2 linked regions of the Nothobranchius furzeri genome follow. The protein of the gene in region 1 interacts with the protein of each later gene in a pairwise test. Links are inferred from orthologs where the notes say so. Each region holds a gene or a part of one and is shown in the gene's direction. Other genes may lie near its edges. The genes, in order: polr3c and polr3glb.

Region 1 (4,298 bases):
CAGTATATTTGACCAGAAACAAACACTGAAAACAAAACTAGTCCACTGTCTCTCAGCTGAGTTTTAAATATGTCGTCTTGGCTTTAATGGTCCAGACAATCCGTGTTCAGGTCTTGTTCGGTGGAAAATACGCTCACAACACATTCACAGTGGGAAACCTGAAGCTTCGGGCCCTGAGTTTTGACACAATTACGCGTAGACACACGAATAGAACAAAACTTGACAGTGTCAAGTTTATAACCCAGCGTTTACCTCAAGTAAAAACAAATTAGGCACCGTTTAATTCAGAGAGTTAACAGCAACAACCGTTGCTAGCTGTTAACAAGCTAGCGGCGGTTTAGCTGTAGCAGACAGGCGAAACTAACTGCTATTGGTCGAGCAGCGGTGTTGTCAGTCGCGCACGATGTGGAATATATCACACATGACTAACCAAAAACACCGGACTTACCGGGAGTTTAGGATTTACTTCTCCCTTACAACAGTGACAGAAAAACCGATGCGGGGGAACAGGCGCGGCCTCCGCCATCTTCCCCAAGCAGCACAACTAGTGACGTTGGTCCTTTACAACCAAAAGACACTTTATGGCAAGCCGGTTCATCATATAATAAGTGATAATTCTGATATTTATCATATGCATTTTCATATCCTCCAAAATGATTATAAGTTGTTTTAAAACGTTTAATAATAAAAACGTCTTTATGATAGCAGTAAATCATATGAAAATTTAAAATATTTCAGAGTTACCACGGTATTCAAGACCTTGAAATCTGCACATTGTTCTCTAGTGGGAATTCCAGTTTTGAGAAACAAATTATTATTCTAACAAAAGTTGTTCGACAGCAAAGTACGTTTAGATTTTTTAAACCGGAAACTAAATTTCTATGGGAATTTGTTTGTCCTAACATTTGGGAAAGGTATTTGAGATTCTTGAAATGTTGATTTTGAATAGGTGAAATATACCTTTTGAAATACATGGAAGGAACTGCAGATGTTTACTGATGAATACTGACTTCACCCAGTGTGATTGTGTACCTCTTACTTTTTGTCTAACTTATTAACACGTCGAGCGCTTGAAATTTCAGTTGTTTATTCTGATAACTAAAAATGCAATTCATGAACAAATTTTTTTTTATTTAAATTCCAAATGAAAAAAATGGGATGTGGTTAATTATATGCTACAACAACTTGCCTGAACCAAACGATCTCCAGCTCGACAGGGGGCGCTGCACTGCAGCCAAATCCTGGAGGGAAGACCCAGAGAGCGGAAGTGTCTTTTTTACCGGAAGTGTCTGTGTGTTGTGATGGAAGAGACGCATGTGTAAAAAGTCGATGCATGAAGGCAACAGCTACGTTTGCTCCGAAACCCATCTGCAATAAAAGGTTCGTGAAAAAAATAAGTTACGTGTATTTATTTTTCCTAATTCTTTACTTTCAGGTGAGCTAGCCGCTAGTAGCTTGTAAGCTAATCCACTTAATACAACTTTAGCTTCACTGGTGTGGACATTAATCAGAGACGCTTAAAACATAATTAACATTTAATATTAGATGAAGTTTACATGTTGTCTTTTGTTTTATGGTGCTTTAGTGTTTTTTTAACCGAAACATCACAGTTTAAAGATGCTAGTGATTGATTTGTGATGCTTTAAGTGTACTAGTGTTTTAGTGTCCTGTCAAAAAAGTAAATATAATTTATAAAATACAATAAAATGACTTTATTCTTGCAATAGGTTAATTTCTGTTAAGATGTTGATAATAAATCATACTAATTTACCTATTTAAGCCAACCACATACACAATATTCAGTACTTTCCTCACAACTTGGTACAGTCATTTTGTCATTTAATTAGTTTGTTTATTTTGATCAACTGTTGGTTCATATTACACTGATTATTTTGTTTTCAATCTGTTTCATGAAAAGCATCTTTTATAAAATGTTCTGCTAATCTGGTGCTGCTTCCGTGGGTTTTATTATCGTGATATAGGTGATGTCATCTAATTTACTGTTTTGCTTCATCTACAATAAAATACAGGAATTCTTCTACAAAACCTGTAACATAAATAAAACCAGTTTACTTCCATCCATCCATTTTCATCCGCTTATCTGGAGTCGGGTGGCTGGGGCTGTAGCCTAAGTCGAGAGGTCCAAACTTCCCTCTCCCCAGCCACTTGGGCCAGCTCCTCCGGGGGAATCCCAAGGCGTTCCCTGGCCAGGTGAGAGACATAGTCCCTCCACCGTGTCCTGGGTCTACCTTTAGGCCTCCTCCCAGTTGGACGTGCCCGGGAAACCTCACCAGGGAGGCGTCCAGGAGGCATCCTGACCAGATGCCCAAGCCACCTCAACTGGCTCCTCTCGATGTGGAGGAACAGCGGGTCTACTCCGAGCCCCTCCCGGATGACCGAGCTTCTCACCCTATCTCTAAGGGAGAGCCCAGCCACTCTTTGGAGAAAACTCATTTCGGCCGCTTGTATCCGTGATCTCGTTCTTTCGGTCACTACCCAAAGCTCATGACCATAGGTGAGGGTAGGAACGTAGATCGACCGGTAAATCGAGAACTTCGCCTTCCGACTCAGCTCTCTCTTCACCACGACAGACCGGTACAACGCCCGCATCACTGCAGACGCAGCACCAATCTGCCTATCGATCTCACGCTCCAGCTTTCCCTCACTCGTGAACAAGACCCCGAGATACTTAAATTCCTCCACTTGGGGCAGGACCTCATCCCTGACCCGTTTACTTGTGGATCTTATTTATATTGTATGTTTTTGCAGATGACAGCCCAGGAGGTACGACTGTGTGGTCTTCTGATGCGAGAGCATTTCGGGGAGGTGGTGGAGAAAGTGGGAACACACCTGCTCAGAAGTGGTGGCCAACATTTACGAGCCATTGTTCATGAAACTGGAGTCTCAGCGGACCTGGTACAAATGACAAGCTTCTTTCTGCTGGTTAATACTGAGAATATATTTGCTTAGCAGCTAATTGTTGGTGGTGATGTATTTTAGATAAGTAGAGTTGATTTATTGGACAGTTTTACACTATAAATGATTTTTAATCACACAGTACAGATGCTGCTTTTGCCTTTGTTTTTAAAGGTAAAGAAGTCTTTATGCGTGCTTATGCATCACGGAGCGTGTTCGTTCATCTCTGGTCGAAAGGGACCCGGCAGCCCCCCAGAGTATCAGGCAAGCTGCGATTGCATTCTGAGGATTCTGCGATACCCACGTTACATCTACACCTCTAAAACCTTGTACGGTGACACCGGAGAGCTGATCGTTGAGGAGCTGCTTCAGAGGGGTCACATGACGATGAGCGGCACGGTCAAGACAGTCGCTGACCGCCTCAGTCAGAACATGGAGGGTCAGCGTCTGATTTTAAAAAGACAAAAATCTGGATTTGATTTTGAATGTTTTTCAGGTTTCAGTAGGATTTATATTACGTGACATCAAGTGTCTATGTTGTTCTTACAGATGGGCAGAGCGTTGATTACAGCGAAGTGTCGTCTGTCTTTTCTAAACTGGTGGAGACGCATTTCCTGCAGCGCTGCCCTCCGTTGGACGGAGCAGGAATGACAGCCAGCAGCACTCAAGCCGGCCCCAATCCCACTGCAGCCGCCTCCAGCTCCACCCTGCCCAACCCAGAGAGCTTCTCCGAGTGCTATAAGGTGCCTCATGTGACCCTCGTCGGGCGGGGAAAGCGCCAGCTCGCCACCGAGGAGGGAGAAGAGCAAAGGAGCGCAAAAAGAGCCAAAATGGAGCCAGAAGTCGGGAACAACTCTCTTTTTTCACCTATTTATTCATTCCAACATTTCTCTGTTTCTGCTTTTATCATCATCACACACGGTTGGTGTTTTTGTGCAGACTCATGGTGACGAGGGGATCTACTGGCAGGTGAACTTTACGCGGTTTCATCAGCACTTCAGAGACCAGGTGATCATCAGTGCCGTGGCCAGTAAACTGGATCAGGTCAGGCTTCCTCTTCAGGACTAAAAATACGAGTGAATAAAAAAAAAAAAAGAGTTGAACGTGCCTACAAAACGCTTATTCATTCTCCTGGATGACTAAAATGTTTTATGTTGTTTCTGTGTGTTTAGAGAGAACTGTCAGTCATCAAAACTGGATAAAAAAAATCAATAATCAACAGTAAACGGGCTCCAGCCCTAAAAAACAATATTTTTATGAATGAAACCAAATCTCACTAATACATGCATTAGTGAGATTAATTATAGTTGTAGCTGTATTTATGTTCTCTTGGTCACTATTGTGTTTCAGGTGTTTGATGAAGCACTTTTTAAAGCTTTTGC
Region 2 (4,487 bases), about 19 Mb from region 1:
TTCACCAGGCCTGACAAGTGTGCAAAATATTGTGAGTTTTGGGGTATGTTAAGGTCCCCAAAAAGCTGTTCAAAGGGGGCACGGAATAACAAAAAATAATAATAATCAGAGCAAAAACAAGAGGCCTTCGCAGCGCTTTCGCTGCTCGGGCCTAATAATAATCAGAGCAAAAACAAGAGGCCTTCGCAGCGCTTTCGCTGCTCGGGCCTAATGAGAAACACTGGAAAGAGTAGGAGAGAGGAGGTGATCATTGCTAGACTAAGGTTTGGACATACTGGGTTAAACAATACATTATTCATGATAGGGAAACATAATACAGGGAAATGTGATTATTGTGGAGAAGACGAAACTATAGATCATGTTATATTACACTGTCACTAAGTTCACACTCTTAGTCAGATGAAAGTGAAACTGGATCTTGTTGATTTATTGAGACAGAATTCAAAAAGTGACTGTTATCAGATTTTATTTCGGTTTTTGAAAGAGATAAGGGTGTTTGGGAGACTTTGAGTCTTAACCCCCTGTTTGGTTTGGTTATGTGAGCGCTGTTCCAGACCACACTCCACACTAGTTGGTGGCGGTAATGCACCATTCATTGTTTGCCAACCACCAATAAAACACCAAAAGAAGAAGAAGAACTTAGACGGCGCGAAGCCGGATGTAAACAGACAGTTCGGTCTGGTCCAAAACAAGACGGAACCGTGGAGACGTGAATGTTCCTCAGGTTCTAACGAGATGAATTGTCGCTTTAGAGGCGAGACGACGCTTAGTGACCCCTAAAACGGAACGATCCCGGAAGAGCCGTCGCTGGACCGTGTCAGACAAAGCCAACCGGGTCACCGAGAGCTACTCGTCGTTTTGATGAACTGCGTGGGGGCGTGTATTCTCAGCCGGGTGAGATAATCTGGAGCAGAACCTATTGAAGGTCCAGTCTAGTTCAGGACCAGCCCAATGACCAGAACCCTGGCGTTCTGTATTGGTTCTGTTTGTATGGTATTATTGGACCTGGGGATTCTGGAGAGGTTAAAGGATCAATTATATAGAAAAGCTGTTATGAATCTTTGGTTTTCTCCGATAGGGGGCCATGTTGACCCAGACAACAGGAACAAGCTGGACACCAAGCTCTACCAGAACTATTGGTGGTCCGGAATGAAAGACGCTGGCTTCAAGTAGGAAGAGAATCCAACGGACGGAAGTCTGGACAAGGACTTTCTTTAGTAGGTTTCAGTTTAGCATCCTCCTCCTGCTCCAGACTTCCTGTCACACATCAGCTAACATCTCTTCGATCTCAGACGTGCATCCTCTCCATGATGCTCCACAACCTTCATCACATTTGGTCACTTGTCTCCACATCTCTGCTAACATTCAGCCTTCTTGTTCTGTCAGAATCCAGATTCAGCACCACGTCTGACCGGGCTGCAGAGGGTCTTCTTCATTGGATCTGGCAGGCTAGATGCTGATGGGTCAGCACCTATTCCCACTCACAGTCTGCCCTTACACCCCTACGACAGTCCGTCATCACCAACAAAGTCCTCAAACTGAAAACAGACACACCAAGGGCCCCCAAGAGAGGACCACTCTCTCCTGCATATCGCCAGCAATGCTGAAGAACATATCTCACACTCTCCAACTCTCCACAGTCACAGTTACCATCCGGGTGCTCCCCTAATAAAAAACAACCCACCCCGCAGACAACTGTGGCCCAGCGTTAACCGGGTCAAGACCAAAGGGTCCCTCCTCTCACAAGCGAGGGCCAGCCTATGACCACTCACCACCACTACAGGTCATAAAAATCCCTACCCACATCCGCCACAGAGGGTCCGTTCATGTTCTGGTTCTGGTCTGCTTTAGAGAGGCAATAGAGATGGCAGGTCGTGGGCGTGGCCACAGGATGATGAGTTTCAGTGTGGATGCAGTCGGCATCAGAGAATCTCTTCCTCCAACTATTCACCAGCCTACACCTGTGTTTCCAGTAAGCTCCACCCCACTACACCTGAACCCAGTCACACCTGGAGTTTAGGTCACGTGTGGCTTTATTTTGAGCAGACATTGTGTATTTATTTTTTTTGGCATCAAGTGCATTCTGGGATTTGCAGTTTAATGTTTTCCAGGTGATGGAGCAGAAGCCCCTGCCTCTAACAGGTGGAGAAGAGGCAGAGTATTTGTTGGCTCTGAAACAGGACTGCAGGGGAGCCATGAGGAGTCTTCCATGCTTTATCCAACCAGCAGTGGCACAAAGAGGTGAGACCAACAATCACCACTTAACTGCTTATCAGATGTAACTGCTCTCTTATTGTGAAGTTCTCCTCTGCACTTCCTGTCAGATGTGGAGCGATACTCAGATAAATATCACATCAGTGAACAGACTGACAGGCTGAAGGACTGGGTTGTAGGTGAGACCATGAATGCTAATATCTGTAACCACAGTAACCAAGAGAACCCAATGTGATGTGTTGATCAGGAGTAATGCTGATTAGTCGTTTCAGATTGGAAGAGATTCCCCAGAGAACTGCGAGTCCACGTCAGGAAAGCACCCGGTGATGGTCAGTAATCTGATTACTCTCAGTAATTTGAGCCAGGTTGTGTTAGCTGCTGGTAAAATGTGTTTTTGTTAAGGTGCGCTGCTCAGCTGCCGGGACAGCGGTCAGCAGATACAGAAGAAGAAGAAGAAGGTCAGAGAGGAGATCCTTCTGAAGCTGGAGGTGAGTTGGACTGGTCTGGGAAACAGGTCACAGGTAAAATAACGTATTCCAGATCTGTCAGACTCACCTGTGGAGCAGGTGTCTCAGCCACCTGCTGTCCTACCATACCGATGACGTGACCTGTGTGTGTCATACTTGCAGACGCTGGAGAAGAAGGAGGAGCAGGAGAGCTCTGAGGGGGAAGGAGAGATGGAGAAGAAGCAGGATGAGGGTGCTGAGGCTGAGGAGGATTACGATGAGGAAGAGTTTGAAGAGGTGAGGTGACACCCGGTGTGGGTGTGGCAGGGATTAAAGTTCTCCGTCGGGGTGACGGAAATCCGTCAGTTGGAATAGTCAGAAAAAAGTGCTGTCAAAATCCTCTCTCTCTCTCTCTCTCTCTCTCTCTCTCTCTCTCTCTCTCTCTCGCTCTCTCTCTCTCTCTCTCTCTCTCTCTCTCTCTCTCTCTCTCTCTCTCTCTCTCTCTGGAATGTGGTAACAAGCAAGTACGGGGGCGGTTGTGTCATCCGTCTCACTTTTGATTTGCCAGTGATAGACCGCGAGGGTAACTTTAACCGGTTTGCTGGCAGCAAGGTAAAAATAAACCTTTTCCGTGTTTTCAAGAAGAACCAACAATGCAGTTAGAAAAGCAACACAGCAAGAACATACCAAAGAGGAGCGTTTATAGACCCTTTTACTGTTTGTAAACAATATGACGTCAGCGAGAATGCTCGCGCAGCTTGGCAACAGAGAATGGCGTTGTGTCAGGCTTTATCAAGCTACGCTGCGGGGTTATCACCGGCAAATCTTGAATGTTATATTATTAAACTCACTTTAACGAATGGCAACAGACTCCCGGATCCCTGTGGCATTACGGAATGGGTGGAAGATGTAGGTGCGTGGCCAGATATCCAGTGGCCCGATATATATACGTTTTTAGTGGAGAGGCCCAGTAAGTACACACGTGAGAAGCTACGGGCATACAAATCGTTAGATGCATACAACTATGTTGTCTGTGGCCACGTACAGAAAGTAAAATATCACGACATAGACTCTGAGTTTTGCGTCTTGAAGGCAGAAGTCCTTCCTAGCCAAAGACAAGGACACAAGACTGCTATGTACGAGGCTTGGGTCATAGTAAACAAACGAGAGAACTACGTCTTCACAGCCAACTGTACCTGCATGGCAGGGTGAGTATAGCTTAGGTTTCTTTTTTTTTAGCGTGCTCAGAGTACAATCGTGTTAATTTTAGAGAAATACAGTTTATACTAATATGCAGTGGGAAAATACAGATGAATTAGAATGAAATGTTAATTAAAAAATAAATAGACTGCTTAAAAGCAAACCAGCAAGCGCAACTTACTTTATTTAATAGAACACACGTTAACCAGCTTTCTGGTGTAATCTTAGTACATAATTACCTTACCTGATATAAAATGGGCGCTACAAACTCGAGCATTTCGGATCGTGTTTTCAGTCCAGTTTTCATCAACCCTTTTGATGGCCTGCAGCCACAGACACCTCCGATTTTGTTGAAATGGATGTGCTCCCTTCGGAATTCTGTAAAGTTTCAGTCCACTACTTGGAGAGAAGCGATTCTGGCATCCATACACGCAACAACCCGACATTTTATGTGCTCAGAACTTCAAAACAAAGGGTTTAAAACACTGCTTTAGTATCGAGTGTGAATGAGGAAGCCTTCACTCTCGTTGCCAGGCTGCGCTCGCAACTTTTGATGACGTAGGTAGTAAAAGGGTCTATTGGGTACAGAATTCTGACCCGTTCTGGCTGAACAGGGCGGGGACATAG

Evidence for each region.
Region 2: the proteins of polr3c (region 1) and polr3glb interact in binary tests that used the Homo sapiens proteins (3 or more experiments, as listed by UniProt). The link is inferred for Nothobranchius furzeri from reciprocal best matches to the Homo sapiens genes POLR3C and POLR3GL.

The regions. Positions count from the first base shown.
Region 1 is NC_091745.1:77,810,810-77,815,107, reverse strand, and holds the start of polr3c (DNA-directed RNA polymerase III subunit RPC3), read left to right. Parts: upstream 1-1,252; 5' UTR 1,253-1,380; intron 1,381-2,769; coding exon 2,770-2,916; intron 2,917-3,090; coding exon 3,091-3,355; intron 3,356-3,465; coding exon 3,466-3,758; intron 3,759-3,855; coding exon 3,856-3,960; intron 3,961-4,298. Other genes in the region: rnf115a (E3 ubiquitin-protein ligase RNF115), read right to left, coding at 449-526. UniProt on the Homo sapiens protein: DNA-dependent RNA polymerase catalyzes the transcription of DNA into RNA using the four ribonucleoside triphosphates as substrates.
Region 2 is NC_091745.1:58,816,173-58,820,659, forward strand, and holds the start of polr3glb (DNA-directed RNA polymerase III subunit RPC7-like), read left to right. Parts: upstream 1-1,674; 5' UTR 1,675-1,864; coding exon 1,865-1,972; intron 1,973-2,111; coding exon 2,112-2,241; intron 2,242-2,324; coding exon 2,325-2,393; intron 2,394-2,477; coding exon 2,478-2,543; intron 2,544-2,616; coding exon 2,617-2,702; intron 2,703-2,843; coding exon 2,844-2,957; intron 2,958-4,487. UniProt on the Homo sapiens protein: DNA-dependent RNA polymerase catalyzes the transcription of DNA into RNA using the four ribonucleoside triphosphates as substrates. Specific peripheric component of RNA polymerase III which synthesizes small RNAs, such as 5S rRNA and tRNAs.